Linked DNA regions of Arabidopsis thaliana. The protein of the gene in region 1 interacts with the protein of each later gene in a pairwise test. Each region holds a gene or a part of one and is shown in the gene's direction. Other genes may lie near its edges. The genes, in order: NodGS and CNX2.

Region 1 (6,955 bases):
AAATCCATAACAGAGCACATCTTCTTATACATACCAGCTTTTCCAAATGACAGGATCAGTATGTTAAATGTAGTGATATCCGGTTGCACCCCCATCAGCTGGAACCGACTATACCAGCTCTCCATCTTCCTCATGTTGCGACCATTTCCATATGACCCAATGATCGAGTTAAGCGTACAAACATCCGGAAGAGAATCTCCGTCCTCGATCATATCAGCCAGAACACTTTCCATTTCCTCAAACATTCCAGCCTTTCCATACCCATCAATAATAGTATTGTAAGTAACCGTGCTGCATCCAACTCCAAGATACGACATCTCAAGAACGATACTTTTAACCAGATCAAACCGACCCAGTTTGCAGCAACAACTGATGAGAACAGTAAAGGTGAACACATCTGGCTTGCAGTCACTAACAGATTTCATATACTCAAGTGTAGAAAACGCCTTGTCTAGAAGCTCGCTTTTGCCATAAACAGAGATAAGAGAGGTATACACATCAATGGTTGGTTTCAATCCTTCAGATAACATAACTTCGAAAAGCAAGCTGGCTTGATCAGGCTGTTTACAATTCCCAAGCACTTTAAACAGCTTTGTATAAGTTTTGCATCTTGGTTCATACCAATGCTGCTTCCTAAGAAGATTGAAAATCTATAAAGTAGAGAAACAGGAAAGTGAATTCTATCGAATCTATGTCCAAGTATCTGTAAGAATGAAGAAGGATTAAAGAGCTGTACCTTGAGAGCAGACTGCCATCGATTCTCTTTGATAGCTTCGTCAAGAGCTTCTAGAACAGCTTTTGGCCATAAAGTTAAGTACTTTTCGGAATTGGCTTTCCTCTCAATGCCCTTCACAGCAGCATCTGTTCTCAGAATCCGAGACAATTCTTTCTTAGGATCTACTTGGTGTCTTGTTGAGATCAAACCAGAATTCATTTTCTCTGTACGTTCGTTGGGGACCTTTGTCGAACACATTGTGGGCGTTATTGAAATAGTTGGTATACACCGAAAATAAACAGGGGAAGATATATGTTGCTGAACCACGCTTCTGCAAGAATGAGAAACAGAGAAAGATAGATTTAATATAAACACAACTGAAGAATTAAAGAAACGTAAAATTCAAAACAGTATGATTGTATGAAATATGAGAATGTTACCGAGAAAAACCAAGTTGTGCGATCTCATTGGCGTACGCGGAAGTAGTTCCTTGAACAGGATTTTGTATCAATGCCATCGAAGAAAAATGGTAGAAAGATAAGGTGGAGAAAAAGAAACTGCAAATTTTCTGGGTAGAAAGCAGAGCTAGAAGACGACGACGATACCGTTGTTTTTCCTTCGTTTTTTTCTTCTTCTCCGGTTTGGTGTAGCTTCTCTTCGGTTTGTAAAATATAATGAAATGGTTTTAGTTTTGATTTGGATGCCGGTTTAATTTGGATTTACAAAATTAAAAATTTAGCATTAATCAGTTTTTTCTTGTCCGGTTTAAAGGATTGGATTGATGAAGGAAGAACCAAATGGAGCTTTTTCCAATTTAATTTTGAATTCGAATTTGTTAAAACGAGATTGTCCTTGGCAAGGAACCGGAATTTGGAAAATGAAAAACCAAGAACACAGTTGAAAGTTATCCACACTAGTTAGGACACGTGGAGGCTAATGTATTTCACGTGGACACGTGCTCATCACTCTCCTCTAAACGCCGTCGTGAAGTTTAAAGGTCAGAGACATCGGCCACCGACCAAATCAGACAAGGAAAAGTCAACGATTTGATTGGATCTTCTTCACTTATGCTTTAAAACCGTTCCTGTAATAAACTGTGAAGATTGTAAGAAGATTAACACGAATCAAGAACATCGAACTGTTGACTTTAGACAGAGAGAGACGGAGATGGAGTTTAGTGAGTTAAAGGAAGCAATAGAGAAGATAGAGCTCGTTGATGCTCACGCACACAACATTGTCTCTCTTGACTCATCTTTTCCGTTCATCGGAACTTTCTCCGAGGCTGCCGGCGACGCTTTAACCTTCGCTCCTCATTCTCTCTCCTTCAAGGTACACGACGATACCAAGTGTTTTTGCTCTAGTTAGTTTTCGTTTGAATCAGATTCTAATTAATGAAAACGTTAGCTTAAAGTTTCCTAATTAGTCTCAAAAGTATTAGTTAACTAAAGTTTCGAGTGTTACTCAAAAGATGTTGACTTGTTTAGGAATCTCGTGAAGTTGGTATGAATGTTTTTGGTTGTATGAATGAAACAGAGGAACTTGAGGGAGATTGCTCAACTTTATGGCACTGAAGTATCTTTAGAAGCGGTTGAGGAACATCGTAAAACCTCGGGTTTGGATTCTTTTACTTCCAAGTGTTTTAAAGAAGCTCGAATCTCTGCTCTCCTCATTGATGATGGATTAAAGCTAGACAAGAAACATGATATTGAATGGCATAGAAACTTTGTTCCATTCGTTGGTAGAGTGTTGCGTATCGAAACTCTTGCCGAGCAAATCCTCGAAGAGGAGTGTCCTGGTGGTTATTTCTATGGTTCTGAGAGTACTGAACCGCCTGTTTGGGATTTAGATTCTTTCACCAAAACCTTTGTTGAAAGATTAAATTCATATCCTTTTATCTTTGCTTTTTTAATACACGCTTAATGATTGTGACTATACTCACTAGTATTGGTTAACCTTGACTACTTCGGTCACGCTTGTTCCAGAGATTGTTGCTTTGAAAACTATTGCTGCATATCGTAGCGGTTTGGATATTGATACTTATGTGAGTAAAGAAGTTGCTGAGAATGGCCTTGTTGAAGTCTTGCGAGGTAAGATGGTTGTGCTTGGTCTATCAAGAAGTAACATAGTTGTTGTCTGATCACCTTAAAATCTAATATTGCTGCAGCTGGAAAGCCTGTCCGCATAGGAAACAAGGGCTTGATTGACTACATCCTTACCATTAGTTTGGAGGTCGCTGTGCGTCGCGACTTGCCCTTGCAGATTCACACCGGGTATGCAAGATTTGATCAACTATATGATTGATGTTAGTAAAGTCTGATCTTTTTATCAAACAAACCTTACACAGAAACAGAAACTCATGCTCAGAGGTTTGTAGTAATGAAAATTCTCCTTTTCTTTTGTTGTTTGAGCCAGTTTTGGTGACAAGGATTTGGATTTGAGGTTGTCGAATCCTCTTCACCTTAGAACCCTTCTTGAAGACAAAAGATTTGGAAAGTGTCGTATAGTTCTTCTTCATGCAGCTTATCCATTCTCAAAGGAAGCATCCTTTCTGTCTTCAGTTTATCCTCAGGTTTTTCGTCATCCCATTTCAATTATCTGTAAAATCATGCCTAGTCATTAACTTATTTTCTTGTTCCTTAAGGTTTACCTTGATTTCGGCTTGGCGGTTCCAAAGCTTAGTGTCCATGGTATGGTTTCTTCAGTTAAAGAGCTCCTTGACTTAGCATCAATAAAGAAGGTAAAATTTATTTTACTTGCATTATCTTTGTTATTGTTCATGAGTAACCATAAGATATTATTGCAGGTTATGTTCAGCACTGATGGGTATGCATCTCCTGAGACCTACTATTTAGGTTAGCTCAAGTTTCTACCTCTTTTCTATAGTTTGTAACATACTTATATATGTTCCAATCCTGTTTCTAAGCTTTGGCACTTGAAATCGTCTTGCTTCAGTCTTGAACATAGCTCGCTGTTTTTTGCAGGTGCAAAGAAAGCACGTGAGGTTATCTTCTTAGTTCTGAGTGATGCTTGTGCCAGTGGTGATCTCTCACTCATGGAAGCTATTGATGCAGCTAAAGACATATTCTCACGAAATTCTATTGGATTTTATAAGCTTAATATAGACACAGATTCTTCTAGTCCACAAAATATAATATCTCCCAAATTGAAGATAAAGGAGCCTGATGTTCAAGAAGATAGTAGTTCTTTTGTACGCATTATTTGGGTTGATACATCTGGACAACAAAGATGCCGTGTGAGTTTTTTTTTTTTGGTTTCTTCTAAAGAAAAAACCTCTGTTTCCCACCTCAACGATTTTTCCTTAGAAGCACAAAAACTTAACTAGAATTCTGTTTATTGTATTGTTTCAGGCTGTTCAAGCGCAGCGTTTTAACAGAAGTGTGAAGAAGAACGGCGTTGGTCTGACCTTTGCATCAATGGGGATGACTTCATTTACTGATGGACCAGCAGAAGAGTCTAAATTGACAGGTGTGGGTGAGATTAGACTTGTTCCAGATCTATCAACCAAGCAGACAATACCTTGGTACTTTACTCGTGTTCATTCTCTTTGGAGTTAATTTTACAGATGTTTCTTTCTTAATTGTTTCCGTATCATATTTTATCATTAGGACGAAGCAAGAGAGCATGGTTTTAGCTGATATGCAATTGAAGCCTGGTGAAGCATGGGGGTACTGTCCACGAGAGACCTTAAGAAGGGTCGCAAAAGTTCTCAAAGATGAATTTGACTTGGTAAGAAATCTCCATATAGCCATTCTACGAAAACTTTTATTTGCTTTTTGGTTGCTTAAGCTCAAATCTTCCTTGGCTTTTAGGTAATGAACGCTGGTTTTGAGAATGAGTTTTATCTCCTCAAGAACGTTGTGCGGTATGCGACTATATATTTCTTGAATACCGGTTTCTTTGTTCAATCCAATCATTTTCACAATCTTAACACTTGTTCTGTCCATTTTTTAAAAGGGAAGGGAAAGAAGAGTATATGCCTTTTGACTTTGGTCCTTACTGTGCCACATCCTCATTCGATGCTGCATCTCCGATCTTCCATGATATTGTACCCGCACTCGAGTCCTTGAACATCGAAGTTGAACAGGTTACAAATAATTCAAAAATCCCTCATAATGATCAGTCTGCAACATGCTTCTTGACATGTATGAAATTTTTTCATAGTTTCATGCTGAATCCGGGAAAGGTCAGTTTGAAGTATCTCTCGGTCACACCATTGCATCCCATGCTGCCGACAACTTGGTCTACACACGTGAAGTTATAAGATCGGTTGCAAGGAAACAGGGATTGCTCGCAACCTTTGTTCCAAAGTATGTCAGTCTCTCCCACCAAATTATTCGTTGTAACTGCAAATTTTTAACATATGTGTTTTTTCTTCAGGTATGATTATTGTGACATTGGTTCTGGATCACATGTGCATCTAAGTCTTTGGAAAAACGGCGAAAATGTCTTCCCGGCATCTAATAACTCATCTTCTCATGGAATCTCTTCCGTTGGAGAAGAGTTCATGGCCGGAGTTCTATTTCATCTTCCATCAATCTTAGCTATTATAGCTCCACTCCCAAACAGGTAACTCGAAAACCGTACTTTTCGAGTAATTTCCTCAATTGTTATTAAAAGTTGTGTGTGTCACTTAAATTTCCAGCTACGACCGAATCCAACCTAATACATGGAGTGGAGCATTCCAATGTTGGGGCAAAGAAAACCGCGAAGCAGCGTTAAGAGCAGCTTCTCCACCAGGAACTCCTGATGGTTTAGTTACTAACTTTGAGATAAAGTCTTTTGATGGCTCTGCAAATCCTCACCTTGGTTTGGCTGTTATAATGGCTGCTGGTATTGATGGTCTCCGGCGACATCTTCAACTTCCTACTCCAATAGGTAACTAAAAACTTATGTTATTCATTCTCATGTATATGTAGTGTTAATATGAAGCTTGATCTTGAGTTGTTCGGATGGAACAGATATAAATCCGGCGGATGTGGCTGCTACATTGAACAGACTTCCGGAAACGCTCTCAGAAGCTGTTGAAGCTCTGGACAAAGACAAAGTTCTCCACGATTTGCTCGGACAAAAGCTTTTAGTTGCCATAAAAGGAGTCCGTAAGGTAACACTATAGTCTTTTAGTTTCCCATTAGATTCTCAGTGGTAACAAAGTACATTAGCACTAATCTATTGTTTTTGTCTTTTTAAATTTTTTTGTGTAACAGGCTGAGGTCGAGTATTATTCGAAGAATCCGGATGCATATAAGCAACTCATTCACCGATACTAATCCTTTGAGCATCTCTATGATGATTGTTGGATCATTTGGTTTTATTGTGGACTTTGTGTCACATGAAGGGTCGTATTTGCAAAATACTTGACATAAAGATGTGGTTCAGAAAATTAATAAACTAAATTTCATATTTCGAGACGCATGCTCATGCTGGAGTACTATTTGTATTTCTTACTTTTTCGTCCCATGCTTTCAAAAGCCTCAAGAATATACAGAGTATTTTCAATAATACGGAGTAGTTCTTAATCATTTACATTTGTCTATGAATTGAATTTGACTACTAATACTCGGAAACAAAAAAATGATTGTAGTATTAGGAGCGCAAATACCCTTTAACCATTGTTCTTTCCATGTTCTTAGTCCGGCTATTGTTATCTAGGTAGGTGCCTGATCCCTTTTTTTCAAATCTTTCTTATTCATTACTTTGACTAATTAACCTATTTAATCATATTTAATCTCCCTTTAATCTGCAAACTAAAGCACATGTTTTTTTTTATGAAAGAAAAGGTTAGTATGACATTCTTTTGGTAAATCTCATCATATTATTTATTTAATTTTAAGAAATTGGAGTTTAAAGTGTAATTAAGTTATGCTACCTAGCTAATTTCCTTAAAATATGAACGATAAGTATAGAAATTAAAGTAAAGATTAGGTTTATACGGTACGCTTATTATGCTCAAACAAGTGGACGAACAAAATCCATCTCCATGTGACTATGGAAGAGAACTTATTAATAAGTCCAAATTTTTTTCTTGCAAACTTTATGATTTCATTCACACTAGACAAATTAATTGTTCGTAAGAAGGTATACGTACAACATAATGAGCTTTTACTGCTTCCCTTTGCAAACGAATCAGCTAAAACTTTACAGATTTATATGTTCAAGGGAAACTATAACTAAGATTTGAAGGAAAAATCTAACCTTTCTACTACAACAATAAAAGTCAAT
Region 2 (5,247 bases), on another chromosome or scaffold:
ACTTTAGCTTCATAATATAAAATCGAAAATGTTAAATATATACTCCAGAAAGTTTCTTTATTAATCTCATCGATTGAAAATGGGAACTTATATATAATCGGAACATGAAATATTAGTTCAATATTCTTTGTACATTTATAAAACCATAAATTTGTGTAGGAAATGAATCCAAACTTTCTTTTTTAGTATTTCATGTATTGAAAAATGATATTTTAGAACAAACTTAGAGAAAATCATTGCTTAAAACTGAGTTTTTTTTTTATATCAGCTTACATATAAATTAAAAAACCATAATCTTTTTAATCAATCAATAATGAATTGTGTTATTATTTTAAAATTTTAATATCAAAATAATGAGAAACAAGAACTTAATTAGGAAGGACAAAACAAGGTTTGCTACAAATGCATTTGCGGGTGAATCCTTTGCAACGACCGTCAGTGAAACCTTCGCTAATGCATACTTGGCGACAATTCCTCCATTTCAGACACATACCCTTCCAGTCCAAGCTCTTTGCTTCACACATTTGTTGTCCTTCAACCATCTCTATATCTATAATATAATACATTATCATTATTCAATAAATAATTGAATAATAATATAATTATAATCATATAAACAATCAATAATTGACTTATTCTTCAATATCATCAAATATTAAATTATTCAAGTAGATGCGTAAAACCCCATGCATTAAATATTAAAATATAAGCGTATATTATATGTTTTAGTAACTTTTTAATATTGTGAGTTTGTGAGAAACTAGATTTGCATACCTGGTGAAGCAAGAAGAATGGTTAAGAAGAAAAGTGTTGGAATTAACTGCATAGAGGTAGTAGAGCTCTTCATTTTATTTCCTACTAACTAGTTAAGCGATATGAATACGTGGGGAGAATTGTTGATATTGAAAATTAGCGTGAGAATGTCGCATTTATAGTAAACATGTGCACAAAGCTTTTTTGGTATATCAACGTATGCATACGATAATGAAGAACAATAGGAATATGTGGAAAAGAATCTGATCTTGACGAAAAATATCTGCAAATACACATACGAGAATATTTTGTTGTTTATATATATCTCTAGTACTGTACTGTACTGGTTAAAGATATATGCTAATGATTTTTTCTTTCTTTAACCACTATGAATAGACAATCTACCATAAGAGAAGAGATTGAATCAACATAGTTAAAGTGGGCCGAGGGGACTGATACAATGAACGTATAGACTATAGAGTGTTAAGAAAATTACAAAGTGGTAGTAATATCATAGATGAATTTAGACTAATGTGAAGCTAGACAGATATGCAAAAAACCATTCCTCCATAAGTTCTTCCAAAAAAAATTCCTTTATAATGATATATTTGTAGTTTAGATTTTGGTGTGTTTTGACTTTTGAGTTTATATCTTTATCCAATAAAACAAAGTTACGTACAAAATTGATCAAAGCCAGTCACACAGCCTAAAATTAACTTTAGATTACATTATCACTAACTTGCTTAGATAGGAAACCATCGTTTTAATCAATCAATCATAAATTTGGTTATCTATAAAGTTTTAACATAATATCAATATACAGAGAAATAAAAAATTTAGTACAAATGTTTGGAGTTTGGTTGTTACATAATTCGCAGATTGTAAAATTTAATAGTTTATTACATTAAACAATGATGTAAGCACAGTTAATAAATTATTATTCTAATGACATATCCGATCCAGATGCAATCTGAATTTCACTCGGACCAGTAAATTTACCAATTGAGGTCGGTTTGATTGCCTATAACCGGTAACCGGCGAGACCGACAGATATCATCAGAAAAGACGAAAGAGTTTCATGTTTTTTTTTTTTTTGTTTAGGCTTTTAGCCAAACTCTCTCTAGTCTCTCTCTCTCTCTCTACTTGAGAGTGCCGTCTCCATTTTCTCAACGTAGTCGTTTATTTTGAACAAAGACTCTCTCCGTTTACCAAAGGTCATCTCTTTTCTTCCTCCTTCTCTCACTTTTGATTATATTTTCTGACTTCCTCCTCCTTTCTCAGAAATTCTCTTTCGATCTTCTCTACAGTGTTGTTAACGATGAGGAGGTGCTTCTCCAAAATTACTGATTGCCACTTGGGTTTCAAGAATTCCAACTTCTTATTGGTAAATTTCCCAACTTTACTAATTCTCACTTCTCTGCTACAATGGGTTTCGATTTCTCCCACTCAAGTTGGTTGCTTTTTCGAATTGATTTATTCCTGTAGCTACTAGTATTTGCTTATATAGTGTAAAGGTTAGGGATTTAAGAGCTGAATGAATTCATTTTGTGTTCTTTTATTTAGAGAATCAATGCTTATTTGGAATTCTTAAACAGGTTGGTTCTGAAGTTGGTTCAGGTTCAGTAACGAGAACCATTACTACTACTACTAGTGAGCGTTTATTTAGCAGTAGTTATGCAGCTCATCAAGTTGATCAGATAAAAGACAATCCTGTCTCTGACATGTTGATTGATAAATTTGGTCGCTTACATACCTACTTGAGGATATCTTTGACTGAGCGGTGTAATCTCCGGTGTCAGTATTGTATGCCGTCTGAAGGTGTGGAACTTACTCCTAAGCCTCAGTTGTTGTCACAGTCTGAGATTGTTAGGTTGGCTGGTCTTTTTGTTTCTGCTGGTGTTAACAAGATTCGGTTGACTGGTGGCGAGCCTACGGTTAGGAAAGATATCGAAGAGATTTGTCTGCAGTTGTCTAGTTTAAAAGGGTTGAAGAATTTGGCTATTACTACCAACGGTATCACTCTTGCGAAAAAACTACCAAGGCTTAAGGAATGCGGACTTGATTCGCTGAATATCAGCTTGGATACTCTGGTTCCAGCAAAGTTTGAGTTTCTGACTAGACGTAAAGGGCATGATAGGGTTATGAAATCGATTGATACTGCTATTGAGCTTGGATACAATCCTGTGAAAGTATGTTTATTAATCCTTCTTCATGTTTTCTGTTTGAATGTAGCAGAACGATATTTGATGTTCAAGAGTTTTTGCAAATCGTTCTTGGTTTTGACAGGTCAATTGTGTTATCATGAGGGGATTGAATGATGATGAGATTTGTGATTTTGTTGAGTTGACACGCGACAAGCCAATCAATGTCCGGTTCATCGAGTTTATGCCATTTGATGGAAATGTTTGGAATGTGAAGAAACTTGTACCTTATGCAGAAGTGATGGATAAAGTGGTAAGGTAGAATTCTCTCAATGTTTAGCCTTTTTTGAGATTACTCAACTTTTCCTTGAGCATTTTCATGATTGGTTTCAGTTGTTATGGTAACAGGTCAAGAGGTTTCCGAGCATAAAACGAATGCAAGATCACCCAACTGAAACAGCTAAGAACTTTACGATCGATGGGCATTGCGGTTCTGTTTCTTTCATCACATCCATGACAGAACACTTCTGTGCTGGCTGCAATAGATTGAGACTTCTTGCAGATGGGAACTTCAAAGTTTGCTTGTTTGGTCCTTCAGAGGTAAAGTACATTTCCAAATTTTTCCATGGCTAAAAGTCAGTAACTGTTGATTCAAGTGGCTGCGAACATGTACAAGTGTGCAATAACTTGAGTACCGGTAAACATGAGTATTCGTGGTTGCTTCTCAATAATGTGACGATCATTTTGTTTCGCCCGATGATTTCTTGTGAACAGGTTAGTCTGAGAGATCCTCTCCGGTCTGGTGCTGATGATGAGGCGCTAAGGGAAATTATAGGCGCTGCTGTAAGTATTTAGTTGCTTCATCTGATTTTACGAACCAGTCAAGAAATCTTTCCTCTGTTTTTCGTTTCTGTATTGACTTAAAATTCACAATGGGTTTCAGGTGAAGAGAAAGAAAGCTGCACACGCTGGAATGCTTGACATTGCTAAAACAGCTAATAGACCAATGATACACATTGGTGGCTAAGCTCCGGTGAACGTAAGTTCTTTAATCCATTGTTATGTAACTCATAAAAATTGGATACTTTGTGTCGATTCAAGGGTTTTGACACTTGATCTCAGTAACAAAGTCTTTGATGCATTGATCCGTTTAGTGTAACTCTGCGTTTTGATTCACGTGACTCATCGCGTCATATTTCTCTTTACAGGTTGGTGAAGTTCCTGGAAAACACTACAAGGAACATTTGAGTTTTATATCTTGTAAGAATCTATCTGCTGCTCCCAACTCTGTGAGACTGTGACAAACTTTTTTGCAAACAAGAACAAGAAGACTGAAGAGTTTCTCAAACTGTTTCTTCTCTGTATACGTAACAGACACTGTACAGGAACTCAGAATTTCCACACGAATCTTTTCAGTCCAATTACTTTTCTTATTTATGGCCAAAAAGATCAACTATAAGCTTTTATTATGTTAAGAATTTTAAAATCTTAAATTTGATAACAACAACAAATTCACTTGCGATATTGATCAAAGCTTATTGTATAATAGAGTTTTGAGATACATGACTTGTACTCTGCTGTTTTATTAGCTTACATAAAAATAGGTATCTTATTAATGGCTTATTCATAACAATATAATGTCTAGTTTTCGGTAGAAAGAAGAGCACAAGGCTTCCTGCAAACACATTTGTTGTTGAAGAATCCTTTGCATCGACCATCAGGGAAACCTTCGCTAATACATACTCGCTTGCAACTCCTCCATTTCAAGCACAACCCCCTGTAGTTTAAGCTTTTCGTTTCGCACAATTGTGGTTGTCCTTCAACAACCATCTTCATACCTATAAGATCATGGCATTTTATTATTCAATAAGAAATCAAATTTATAACCATAAATATAATCAAGAATGACCAAAGCTTTTTGTTTGTTGATAACTTATAACCAACCAATATCTTTTTATTGCTCCTAACTCCTAATATGTGTTTATGTAAATATGTGATTTTCAATATTCTATGGCAAAGTATGAGATAAGTTGTAGTGTTGTTTTTTCATTATCATAATAGTTTGAACTAAATAGTGTATGCATAAAAACAAATGTTAAACTAAACAAGGGAAATAAAGTATAAGTTTATAACGTATAGTTTAGTAGATTTGTTTAGGATTTGTATACCTGGTGCGACAACAAGTATGACTAGGAAGAAGAGTGTAGAGATTAACTGCATAGAGCTCTTCATTTTGATAACTACTTGATCAAAAGAGTTAAGAGAGAATAGAGCTCTTGATATTGGAATTGACTTGTAAGAAATAATGTGAAGAGGTCTGCATTTTATAGTAAACAGAAGTATAAAGCTTAGT

What was found.
Region 2: the proteins of NodGS (region 1) and CNX2 interact in a two-hybrid assay, tested with the Arabidopsis thaliana proteins (one large-scale study listed by BioGRID).

Annotation. Positions count from the first base shown.
Region 1 is NC_003074.8:19,705,186-19,712,140, forward strand, and holds NodGS (nodulin/glutamine synthase-like protein), read left to right. Parts: upstream 1-1,634; 5' UTR 1,635-1,882; coding exon 1,883-2,044; intron 2,045-2,248; coding exon 2,249-2,598; intron 2,599-2,686; coding exon 2,687-2,802; intron 2,803-2,879; coding exon 2,880-2,985; intron 2,986-3,127; coding exon 3,128-3,284; intron 3,285-3,356; coding exon 3,357-3,452; intron 3,453-3,518; coding exon 3,519-3,567; intron 3,568-3,696; coding exon 3,697-3,968; intron 3,969-4,083; coding exon 4,084-4,256; intron 4,257-4,341; coding exon 4,342-4,462; intron 4,463-4,545; coding exon 4,546-4,598; intron 4,599-4,690; coding exon 4,691-4,820; intron 4,821-4,897; coding exon 4,898-5,043; intron 5,044-5,113; coding exon 5,114-5,302; intron 5,303-5,378; coding exon 5,379-5,611; intron 5,612-5,694; coding exon 5,695-5,837; intron 5,838-5,940; coding exon 5,941-6,003; 3' UTR 6,004-6,275; downstream 6,276-6,955. Other genes in the region: AT3G53170 (LOW protein: PPR containing protein), read right to left, coding at 1-650, 737-1,046, 1,156-1,232.
Region 2 is NC_003071.7:13,583,309-13,588,555, reverse strand, and holds CNX2 (cofactor of nitrate reductase and xanthine dehydrogenase 2), read left to right. Parts: upstream 1-1,852; 5' UTR 1,853-2,071; coding exon 2,072-2,137; intron 2,138-2,348; coding exon 2,349-2,942; intron 2,943-3,039; coding exon 3,040-3,207; intron 3,208-3,302; coding exon 3,303-3,494; coding exon of another isoform or gene 3,495-3,527; exon of another isoform or gene 3,528-3,668; coding exon 3,669-3,737; intron 3,738-3,837; coding exon 3,838-3,921; 3' UTR 3,922-3,933; intron 3,934-4,102; 3' UTR 4,103-4,535; downstream 4,536-5,247. Other genes in the region: LCR75 (low-molecular-weight cysteine-rich 75), read right to left, coding at 369-550, 775-847; LCR76 (low-molecular-weight cysteine-rich 76), read right to left, coding at 4,536-4,732, 5,063-5,126. UniProt on the Arabidopsis thaliana protein: Catalyzes the cyclization of GTP to (8S)-3',8-cyclo-7,8-dihydroguanosine 5'-triphosphate.